3 linked regions of the Danio rerio genome follow. The protein of the gene in region 2 interacts with the protein of the main gene of each other region in a pairwise test. Links are inferred from orthologs where the notes say so. Each region holds a gene or a part of one and is shown on either strand. Other genes may lie near its edges. The genes, in order: park7, daxx and tcf7l2.

Region 1 (3,656 bases), on a different chromosome or scaffold from region 2:
CGAATAAAACTGCATATTTCAAAGCACGCCAAAGGACTTTTGATTTTCATGAAAAACTGCCTCAGCTAATTTTTTCTTGATGATATGCTCATGCAATCCAAACCTTCACACACACACACACACACACACACACTTTTTTTAAAGGTATTCCACAGCACTAAAAGAAGCCATTTGCCGTTCAGTACAGATCCCTATAGGGACATCTGCCATTTTCTGGGACGCTTTCCGCTCTCCTCTGCTCTCTGCGGCCACATGGGCTCTGTCCTCATTCAGCACGTCCTTCACCAGCCCTTGAACACCAGTGCTGATAACACACACATACACACGCCTCAGTGTTCAATACGCTTGCAAATGAAGACGGACAGGCTTAATGCTGCCAATTATTATAACTCATTATCCTTTCATTTGTATTTCAGATTTCAGTTTTACATATCCGCACTCATCTGTGAGCATCACACTGACATAAAGATGGTTCAGGTAACATTGAGGGCAAAGGCCCGGTGGGGGGAAAAAATATTAAAAGCCCTCAGGGAAATTCATGGAGGAATAAAAAAATAAGATGGTGTTCAAAAGATTGAATAATACATTTATACAGTCATAAACATGTTTTGACACTTATTATGCTAGTGATTTGACGCTTTACAAAAGTTTCAGATGCCTTTACCAATATCAAAATGCTTTTGTAAACATCCAGTTATTCTTTACACCGATTAAAAAAAGGGTTACTATACTACTACTATGAGTACTATAATAAAGAAAATCCGCTCTTACTGTAAAACTAAATAAATTGTTCTTGACACATGAAAGGGCCAAACATGCAGCCCACAACAAGGTGTAAAGTTATTGCGTATCATATTTAACAAACTGTTTACTACGAATTTTATGTAATTTTGCTCACATGGATAATTAAATATTAATCAGTTCTTTTCTTTTTTCGAAGGACATCCTGGGATTTTTAACAACCACGGAGAATCAGGACCTCGTTTTAATGTCTCATCCGAAAAACGGCACTCACTGAGCAGTACAGAGTCTCCGTCACTATACAGGGGCATTAGGACCCACACAGACCGCAGGTTGGGCGGCCCCTGCTGGTCTCACTAACACCATTTCCGGAAGCAACCTTGCTTTCCCATGTGGTCTCCCATGCAGGTAATGACCAAATGCAGCCCTGCTTAGTTTCAATGGGTGACATACCTGTCAACATTGGGATGTGAAAATAAGGGATATGCCCACCATAATAAGGGATTCCTCCAAATATATATTTTTTGATCACCCCAAAAAAATCCCCAAATTACTATGCTCATTTGGAGCTGTTTCATTGTAAATAAACAGGTAAATGGTCAGTAATGTTTTATTATTTACAAATGAAAAAAAAGAAAAAATTAACAAATGAATGATTCATTTAGATTTTTTCGTTTAATTACTTTAAATAACAGGTGTCAGTTTAAAAACGCACACATCTAACATTATAATGAAGGCAGTCGACTGCTTTCCTAACTGTTAATGCTCATTTAGGAGGAAATTATTTGTGTTTGGGAAAAAACCCCCACCAAGATCAACATCTTTAGATATTATTATTATTATTAATTATGTGTGTACATCTGTTTAAACACGCACCCAAAACCCAGACTTTTGCTCCGCTTCAAATCACGAGTACAGAATTCGTTTTGGAAACAGCGTCTATTTATCACTTTGAAGCTCGTCAGCTGACAGTCATGCAGTGCTATGACTGTTTTGAGGATTGTATATGAAGGGGAGACGACACATGTAAAGAAAAGGAAGGGAATCGTGCCGTTTTTATGTTTATTTCAAAGTGTTTTCGTACCTAAACAAAGCGAAAGCACAGAACTCGCCTTCAAGAGCAAGGGGCGGCCCCTGGTGGTTCGGAGGTATGGGAGACTCAACTCTTTAATGTTTAATTGCCACCCCTCTGAGAAAGACTGAAAATATGGGAGAAATACGGGAAAATACCTTTACGGGATCATAGCAGGATAGAACTGTAAAATACGGGAGAATCCCGGGAAAAACGGAAGGGTTGACAGGTATGATGGGTGACCATGTGAGAGTTGCAGAGAGCTAGCTGCAGGTAATATCAAGTTGTCATGACAAATATAAAGACTGATTGTTTTGTATTTGTTTTAGTCAAATTGTCATAACAAATAATGTCATCTTTGCATTCAAAATGTCATAATTGAGCGAATGACAATTAATGACAGTTGTTAGAAGCATGCATAAAAACTCATTCATAACATGTGTCATCATAATTAGAAAGATTTCATGACAGTCTTACGAACACCCCGTCAAGTAAAGTGTTACCAAAAAGGTAATATATGACGTGTCTTCCTGACATTATGCCTAATAGAGCAGTTGAAATGGTGGATGTTTATCCAGGAAAAGGTTAATGTGTGCACAGAGGTCACCAAATGAAGATTACCTGCACAGATTGCAGCGATCAGACCCTTCCTGCCCTCCTGGTCCTTCAACACCTCTTTCACAGCAGGAGACTACAACACACACATGCACACACACACTTATATGTATATGACGCACTACAGAAACAACTGTCACAACACTGCTTCAATTTACATAATTGCGCAATGTTTGCGTTTCACAATGCGACCGTGTTTCTAACCTCGGCAGATGACTCAAAGATGTTTTCTGTTGATTTGAGGAACACTCATAACCTTATGTAAGACTCGAATGGCGTAAGAGCTCTCCTATGGAACTCACTCTACTGTAAAACATGCATAATTAAAACAGATTTGTACCTCAGAAAGGTTCTGGGCTCCAAGCAAACCTCCAGGCAGAAGAACAACGTCATATGGACCCTGTTTAGGAAAGAAAATGACATGCACAACTGACATAAAACCATATTGGTTACATACTGATTAGAATACTTATTTACCATTGAAATTCATTAGGAAATATTGTTTTATTAAATGAAAGCAACTCAATTAAAACTGAACTCCCTCAGAATATTTGACATTCTGCATGTGTATATAAACAAGGAAGAAAACAATCATGAACATTTGCTTTGTTTATATTATGCATATGCAGAAATACTGTTTACCATTGATTTCATTAGGAATTCTTGTTTTATTAAATGAAAGCAACTCAATTTAAACTGAACTCCCACAGAATATTTGACATTTTGCATATGTATATGAGTCTCATGAATATTGTAAGGGTTTTCTTATTTAAAATTAAGATCCTTTAATAAAGCAAGAATACCTAATGAATTTCAGTGGTAAAGCAGTAGTGCTTATTTTATTGGCAATGCATTGCTTGGCCAGAAGATGGAGACAATACTCCATTTATTTACTTTCAACGTTCTTTAAATCCAAATCAGTTCAGAGATGAAAGCAGGAGTAGGTAGGGCTGCTCGATTATATGAAAAATTATAATAATGCTTATTTTGGTCATAATTATAATTATGATTATTCAATATATATATATATATATATATATATATATATATATATATATATATATATATATATATATATATATATATATATATATATATTTATATACATTTAAAAATATATAAATATATATGGGTCCCTCCCCATAGGTTGGTGTTACAGATCATGACAGGCCTGTGAATGTATAGAGTCTTTGTGAGACAAGTGTTGATGAATGTATAGGTTCTTCTG
Region 2 (3,656 bases):
CAAATGCTATTGATATTTCTAGAAAGTGATCAGGTGCATGTGTATTTTATTTGACTTTTTATCAGATGAATGTGAGAAGGAGTGATAATAATATGAAAAATAGCACAGGGTTTCAAAGACGGTGGCCCCCATTTTATATTCATGCATACACTTAAAAACATGTATGTATAGTGTTTGATATTGATAAAAAATCAATAAATATCATTTCTTAAATATTTAAAATGGTACAATCTTTTTGTACCAACCAACTTTTGGTTGGTTTTGATACCAGCAGGGAAATGAATAATTAATAATAAGACTTTTAACACTTTTGTTTTAAGCAGAATATTAAATGAGATTGTGCTAATTTTGTTGTTTTATATATTTTATATATAGGACTGCTGAGAAAACTTGATATGTGCATAACATGGTTTAGTATTGTTTTTTTTTTGTTGTTTTTTTTACTATGCTGCACAATATTGGAAAAATTACACTTTGATATATTTTGCGATATTAATACTATTTCACTAGATGAGTTGAATAAATGTTTGTAAAGAATCTATAATTTTAGTTTGATTGCAAATGTTCTGTAGGGGAGTGCATAAAATATAATAAACAGTCTACAAGAATGGATAAATTCAATAAAGAAAAATATGCTAATAAATAAACCTTGTTTTATTGTTTTCCGAAGAGTCAAAATATATTCAGGTTAATGGAGAATGAATAATCAAATCTAAAAATATTACTGCATAGTCTTAGTTTTATAAACAGTTAGATCGTTATTGTAATCGTTTTTTATTTTTCAAGGTTACAAACAATACAATTTTTTAGGCCTGAATGCTTTTAAAACCCTCACACAGTCACAGTCCTTAAAAAACACTTGCAAAATGATCAATTATAATCCAGACTCAACATTGCATATCCTGCGATGTGACTATTGCGAACGATCACATTGTGATATCGATGGTTAAACAATATATTGTTACTTCATTTGGATACTTTTAATTTTGCAGAATTTGTTCTCCGCTGTTTCAAATATTGATATTTTTCAAGGTATCGTATCGATGTCGGAAATTCCATTAATGTGGCAACACTAATGTATAAATATTGGTAGATTCAAAATAGTTCAATTAAGTTATTAAATACATGTTAGTAAAGCTAGGAAAAATATGCAGGCAAAGTGTATTAAATGTTTCATTATTTTTATCTTTTCTTTGGTTAATTTTAAAGGCATAAAAATTTAAATTATTAGACTGTGGTCGCTTTAAGACTTTATACATTGATTATGTCTCCTGAATTGCTTCAACTTTAGATTCAAATAATTTTTTTCACATGAATACTAACCAAATTGCCATTTTAATACATAAACCTGTATTTTATGGTCACTCAAGTGTTTGACCGTTTAAATATATATTTTTTATATAGAAAAATGTATTTAGAAAATATTTTACAGCTTTTGAGAATCAATCTCAAATCAACCTCCTATTAAAAATTATTAGTATAAAAATATATATTTTTCAGTTCATCAGTCTGCAGATGGAGTGCAGTTGGTCATGCAATGTGTGTTTCTCCAGCATTAGACCCTGCACTCATGGACCCAGCACTGCATCGTAAACTCCGCTCTAATAGAGACGTGGCCATCAGCAGCCTGGAGGAGGTCATCAACAAATACGCCAATAAACAGGAGGATATGGAAGTGGAGGAAACCAAGAAAAGACAAGACAGAGAAAGACTGAAAAAAGAGGTAAACGAATGAAGCATTTCTTGTTGTTCATATATCCAAAAATCTACAGAAGATTATAAATGTTCATATTTACATTTCTTAGTTTAGTAGACATATTTATCCAAAGCGACTTACTAATGAGGATGAAAAAAACACTTAGCAATGTATAGATGCCATGACAATTCTTAGTTTAGTTTATAGTTATTATTGAGTCCTAGTAATAAAGCTTTTGTAGAAAAGTGTCTGGTGCATATGGAGAGAAAAAGAGTGTCTGCTCCTACAGGTGGTTTGTCAAGCCCACTCAACTGCATGAAACATACTCAGAATTGCACAATGTTTTCCCAGAAACATGGAGTGTTGACAAGAAAGTGTCAAGTGCAAATAAATAGGGAGCTGTTTGCAAAGGGTTTGTGAAAATTCCATCAAGATGGACTATTAAGGGTTAAGGTCCCTGTGTTTTTTTATTTATTTTTATTTTGAGACCCTTTGTGATGGTAGCACAGAGCGAAATTCGGTATCTTAGCTCAGAGTCTTACTGTTAAGAAGATTAACTTGTTTAGTATTACTATTCAGGGGTGCTTTTCCCAAAACCATCATTAGCAAACTAAGTTTGCAAGTTCCGTCGTTACAAACATAGTTCGTTGATTTGCCCTTTTCCAAATCCATCGCTCCAACAAACATTCGCATACTTGAGCACATGAAACTACACCTCTGGAGCTGTAGTTAAAAAACATAGTTCTTGGCTGTTTTCTATTTCCATTTATCCCCCTATGCCCTATTAATTTAGAACATTCTAAAATTCAAAGTTGGAATGTTTAAAAATAAAAAAGTTTTACATGATTACAGTTGTGCTCCCGTTGCAGTGCACTTTAGTGTATATAAATATATATATAAATATAACTTTTATTCTCTCTATTAAAAAACAATTTTAAAAAATCTAATTCAAACTATTTACAAAGTTCTATTTCTTTGAAAAAATTAATTATTGTAATAATTTATAAGTAAAAAATATTTTTAATGAATCAACTATTTTATTATTCATTAAAAAAAAACGTAAAATATTTTACTAAATCCTGTTTCTGTATTTCCAAGACAGTCAAGCTTATTTTATTCATATGCAAGTCTGAAACCACACACTAATATAAATCTTTCCTATTTTTTGTACAGGCTGTTAATGGGCAACAGAGTGAAAGCAAAGAAAAAGAAAAGGAGGAGCAAGAAGAAAAAGAGAAGGAAGATGAAGAAGAAGAGGAGGAAGACGAAGAAGAGGACGATTCTTCAGATCCTGACATTGAAGACGAAATCCAGGCCAGCGAACAACAAGCTGGTCCAGGTAAGAAGTGAACAAATCATCTCCAAAAGCTAGAAATCACCTCATTTCACTGAGTTAACCCTGATTTCTCCCAATTTCAGAAGATGATGAAGAAGATGTGGAAGAGGAGCCTGCTAACATCAGTGACAACGATCAGCCAATCAATGAAAGCTCTCCTCTGTCAATCAAATCCTCTGTTCAGGACACAGAAGAGGATGAGGAGCAGTCTCCGCTCAGCAGCACACATGAAGGATCTGCAGAAACAAATACAAACACGAACGGACCTGCTAAACAGAGCCTCGAGTCCACAGAGATCAAGCCGGAGAGCATCAAGCCGGAGAGTATCAAGCCAGAGAGCATCAAGCCAGAGACCATCAAGCCGGAGAGCATCAAGCCAGAGAACACAGACTCTCTAGCTGAAGTCAAGACCGAACAGGTTTCCTCCAATCACGTTGAAGCTGTGTCTGCAAGCACTGAGACTGTGTCCATTGTATCCGAGGAGTCGTCCACAGCCGTCACGAGATCCGCCAACTGCAGTCCGCTGCTCCCAACCAGCCCTTTACTAATCGACGAGACGGGCAACTACAGGAAGAGGAAACGCAGATCCACAGAGAACCACACTTCTGCTCACAACGGGAACTG
Region 3 (4,261 bases), on a different chromosome or scaffold from region 2:
CAAACAATGATCCTACTTCCAGGGGAGATCTCTATATTCTTGGTAGCCTTAAATGAATAAGCCAACGATTTAGAGCAGGCTCCATCTCGGCAGGTAGAAGAACTCTCATATTAAAAGCATCTCTGAGATTATTCACAACCGAGCAAAACACGCTGTGTGTCAAATCCTTCCATCATTTTCCTTGCACTTGCTATACTAAAGCGTTCATTATTATTCTGTGCACTTATATTTAAACGTTGAGCATCAGCACAGAAATGATCAGCAGGTGAAAAAAACATTCAGCATGTTTTGGGAAGCGTGCAATTTCCACGACAGTCAGATGTTTCAACAACAAACCAAAAAAATGTCTCTGATATTAAAAAACAGTGTAATAAAATGAAACACCTGAAGTTAAATCCACAATTTCACAGCAGGATATTTCAACTCACTTCAGGTTGCACATCACGTCACTGTCATAAAGCGCATCTTTACGTTTCAGATTAAGCCTGGAGCTGATTAGGGAAATCAGGAATAGCAGTACAATTTTCCTGATCCTTGAAAAATTATTTCCACATAAACAGCATTTTTACAACACATAAACTAGTCTTTTTGAATAAGGAAATGACTAAATCAATCAACTCTAATTCATTCTGATGCCAAGAGAAGTGCTGGACAAATATGCATAACTATGCAAAGCCAAACCCAATCTAAACAACATCATTTGTATTTACATTTGTATATAAACATTATTCAAATGAAATTATCACATGCTGCATGCACTAAACACAAAGTCCATGCCATGAAAACAAATGCAAATATATAACTCAAAATAATTGTTCATTTTAAAATATTTCTGACGCTACTGAGTAATATTTTACTACACTGGAATCAAGTGTGGTATGAGCAATAATGTGCTTTCATTCTGACGATCACAAATTGATTGAATGACTTCCACTAATTACCATAAACATTTCCCATGATGCTCTTTGGCAATAATGTTTATGTGCATTGCATTCTTTAAATAACACGAGCGACATTATGCTAAGCTGGGATAAATGACTCATAAATTAGCTCAGATAAATGACGTTTTATGTGGCACACTGTAAAAATGTTTTCATCGCCATGTCATAAGAGCATCTTTGTTTCCATCCATTTAAACTGTCACAATAATTTCTGTCACTTCTACCTCGATTTTGTTCATAAGGAATTCAATTTAAGTAGCAGAAAAAGGCACAGGCAGTAATAAGCAAGGCACCACTTTGATTTTACTTAAAATATACTTACATTATAAATTAATTCAAGCTTTCTATTTTGAGGGTTTGATATAAAAAGAATGTTATTTTTTGCAAGTGCACAAATCATAACGACAAAAACATTAATAATAGTAATAACAATGTTATTATAAATTCAAACGTACATTAAGATTTTAGTTGAATAAATTAGGTAATCTGCGCTACTGTAAAATTAGGCGTCTAACGTTAGTCTAAAGCAAACGATATAACGTCTAGCAGTTATTCAGGCACATAAACAATTACGATAAAAAATAAGAAGCAGCCGTAAAAATGTTCTTAAACAACCGCAACCTGCCAGAGAGTGTCGGGGAAAACGAAAAGAAATAATAAGAGCAGAGATTAAAGTTCCAGTGTCTGTGTTTTTGTGCACGTCATGAAAGCACATTGCGCGTCCCACTGCACTCGCCGCTCGCGCGGCTCTGTTCACGCGCTCGCTCGCGGGCTGGCAGCGCTCGGCCAGTGTGTCCGCGCGAACGGCGTGCCACTGTACAGTAGTGCAGGCTGTGAAGTGTGGCAGAAGTTCACCAGCCCACCAAAGCAATCCCTAAACATGGACGTGGTGCTTTAGCTACGTGCATGTGGCTGCAGAAAGACGTGAAAAACACTTACTGTGCGCGCGGTCGGAGAAAGCGATCCGTTCGGGAGGTACGGGCTCGTGAGGTCGGGAATCATTATAAATGGATAGCCCGGGTACGGTGGGCTCTTGAACAGCCCTCCATCTTGCCTTTTTGCAGCTAACATGGCGGGGGGGAAAAGAGGAAAACTTTTAGTTTAAGTTACATTCCCAAAAAACTTTGTAAGTTACGTATGTGCAGAAGCAAAGTGAAACCGATGCACCGTGTTGTTGTCCTGTGCAAAAACAAAAAGAAGGAGATTTAGAGAAAAGAAGCACTCACCCTCCTCTAAACTTTCTCTTGTTTTGTCTCTGAAACTTTCAGATCTAGGCGGAGGCCGTCTTTCCGCCTTGAAATGCAACGAAACACAGGGAATGCATTGAATAATCACAGCGAGGAGATCGTTACGTTAGCTAGTTAGCAGCGTGTTTAAGCAGGAAAAAGTGCATGTAAACTTGTGGACAAGTCGCGGATTCGCGCTTATTTGTCACTTACCTCGGAATCCGAAGAGCTGTTTTGATTCGTTTCCGACTCGTTTACGAGAGAAGACTTGACATCTGCTAAATCCCTTTCTGCTGAGGAGTTCTCCGAAATCTTTTCCTCCTGCTCGCCTTCGTCTTTGAAGGAAATCATTTCATCGTTCGCACCCAGATCGTCCCCTCCACCACCGTTCAGCTGCGGCATTTTTCCCGAGGAGCGCTAATTTTGCGGGGGGCCAAAAACACCCAAAAGTTTTTAAACCCTTGATCTTGGTGTGATCCCCGAATCCCGAGTTTTAAGTTTAGGGACTCGCAGTGGCGTTTGGCTGGGTGAGTGTTCAAAACTCAAAAAGAAGAGGGCAATCTTGGCAGAAACAGAAGCCGGAGACGGAGCTGAGGCGCTCGGATTGAGGGAGTTGAAGTTGGTCGGAGTGGTTTTCAGTTCAAAGGCGGCGCTGATTGACAGATAGAGAGGGATGGAAATAGAGAGAGTCTGGATTCGGGATTATTGACAGGGAGAAACACACAAGAAAAAAAATCTAATGAGATTCAAACAGGGAGGGACTTGAAGTGACGTTTTCATAAATAGAGAGGGGCAGGAAAAAGTACTGGAGGGGGAAAAGGGCTTGAACGAGAGAGAGAGAGTGAGTGAGTGAGCGAGCGAGCGAGAGAGAGAGAGAGAAAGAGAGAGAGGAAAAGAGCTTTTGGTGAAGAGCAGGACAGTTAAAGCGAGTCGCCCCTGTTTGCTTTTGTACAGGAATGAATGGAAAAATAGGCGGAAGACACTTGTGCGATAGTCTGCATGCATCTGAGCGGAGAAACGGCACAGCTAGAATCATATTGGCTTCCTTATTTTCCGCAGTTGTTTTAGGAGCTGTTGGTGGGTTGAAATAAATACACTCTCTCCAAACATCTGCTCAAAACAGAAGAGGCTGAATTCAGCTCCAAATCAAACATGCTTGTCAAAATTATTTTATTGCTTTTTATATCACAACTTAAATTACATAGACAGCTTGAATTAAAATTAGATCAATTGTAGAACACACTGCAATATGGTACAGATATAATAATCTTTTAAAAACTGATATTGGCCAGAAATGTATTTTATCACTGACTTTTATTTTACACAATAAAAATTTGTGTATGTACAAAAATACAATTACATATTTATAATTATTGAAATTATAACTCAAAAATACGATTACACATAAAAACAAAAGATTTTATATGCATTATTATATATATATATATATATATATATATATATATATATATATATATATATATATATATATATATATATATATATATATGCACATACATACATACATACATTATAAAAGGGTTGGTTTCGAGACAGACGGAGGAGGAGTGCGACTGGCTAATTGAGGCCACATAACCTGTATTCATTATGAATAAAGACAGTGGGGTTTGGGGTTGAATATCCATTTTCTCATGTTTCTTTTCTCAAAAGTATTTGTATTTCTTTACACTTCTATTGTGTTGCTTTTGGTTTTCAACAAAAATGCAGTACAAAAATGGTATCCAGCTCCCCACAATTGAATATATTTCAAAGGCATCCCTGCGTGTTTGTCATTACTTCCTATATCAGCCTGCTGTCTCACAGCATTCCCTCATTCTACATATTTGGTTACAAAATTTTATTTAAATAAAGCATTTCCTTACATTTTTTTAAACATAATGACAAAGTGAATACAAAGCTTTGTTTAATTTTTTCCTAACTGAATTACATTGGTGGAATTATAAAGAAACATCATTTTAAGGAAGATTTCAATAAAGTATGTATAATTCAATCCACCGAAGAAAAAAATAATTTACATATGAAGTCAGAATTGTTAGCCCCCCTGTTTATTTTTTCCCCAATTTTTGCATGAAG

The links.
Region 1: the proteins of daxx (region 2) and park7 interact in binary tests that used the Homo sapiens proteins (3 or more experiments, as listed by UniProt). The link is inferred for Danio rerio from reciprocal best matches to the Homo sapiens genes DAXX and PARK7.
Region 3: the proteins of daxx (region 2) and tcf7l2 interact in binary tests that used the Homo sapiens proteins (3 or more experiments, as listed by UniProt). The link is inferred for Danio rerio from reciprocal best matches to the Homo sapiens genes DAXX and TCF7L2.

The regions. Positions count from the first base shown.
Region 1 is NC_133186.1:43,783,168-43,786,823, reverse strand, and holds part of park7 (Parkinson disease protein 7 homolog), read right to left. Parts: intron 2,829-3,656; coding exon 2,769-2,828; intron 2,505-2,768; coding exon 2,435-2,504; intron 1-2,434. UniProt on the Homo sapiens protein: Multifunctional protein with controversial molecular function which plays an important role in cell protection against oxidative stress and cell death acting as oxidative stress sensor and redox-sensitive chaperone and protease.
Region 2 is NC_133194.1:8,074,094-8,077,749, reverse strand, and holds part of daxx (death domain-associated protein 6), read left to right. Parts: intron 1-1,553; coding exon 1,554-1,723; intron 1,724-2,869; coding exon 2,870-3,035; intron 3,036-3,115; coding exon 3,116-3,656. UniProt on the Homo sapiens protein: Transcription corepressor known to repress transcriptional potential of several sumoylated transcription factors. Down-regulates basal and activated transcription.
Region 3 is NC_133187.1:32,995,382-32,999,642, forward strand, and holds the start of tcf7l2 (transcription factor 7-like 2), read right to left. Parts: upstream 2,869-4,261; 5' UTR 2,570-2,868; coding exon 2,381-2,569; intron 2,235-2,380; coding exon 2,168-2,234; intron 2,006-2,167; coding exon 1,881-2,005; intron 1-1,880. UniProt on the Homo sapiens protein: Participates in the Wnt signaling pathway and modulates MYC expression by binding to its promoter in a sequence-specific manner. Acts as a repressor in the absence of CTNNB1, and as activator in its presence.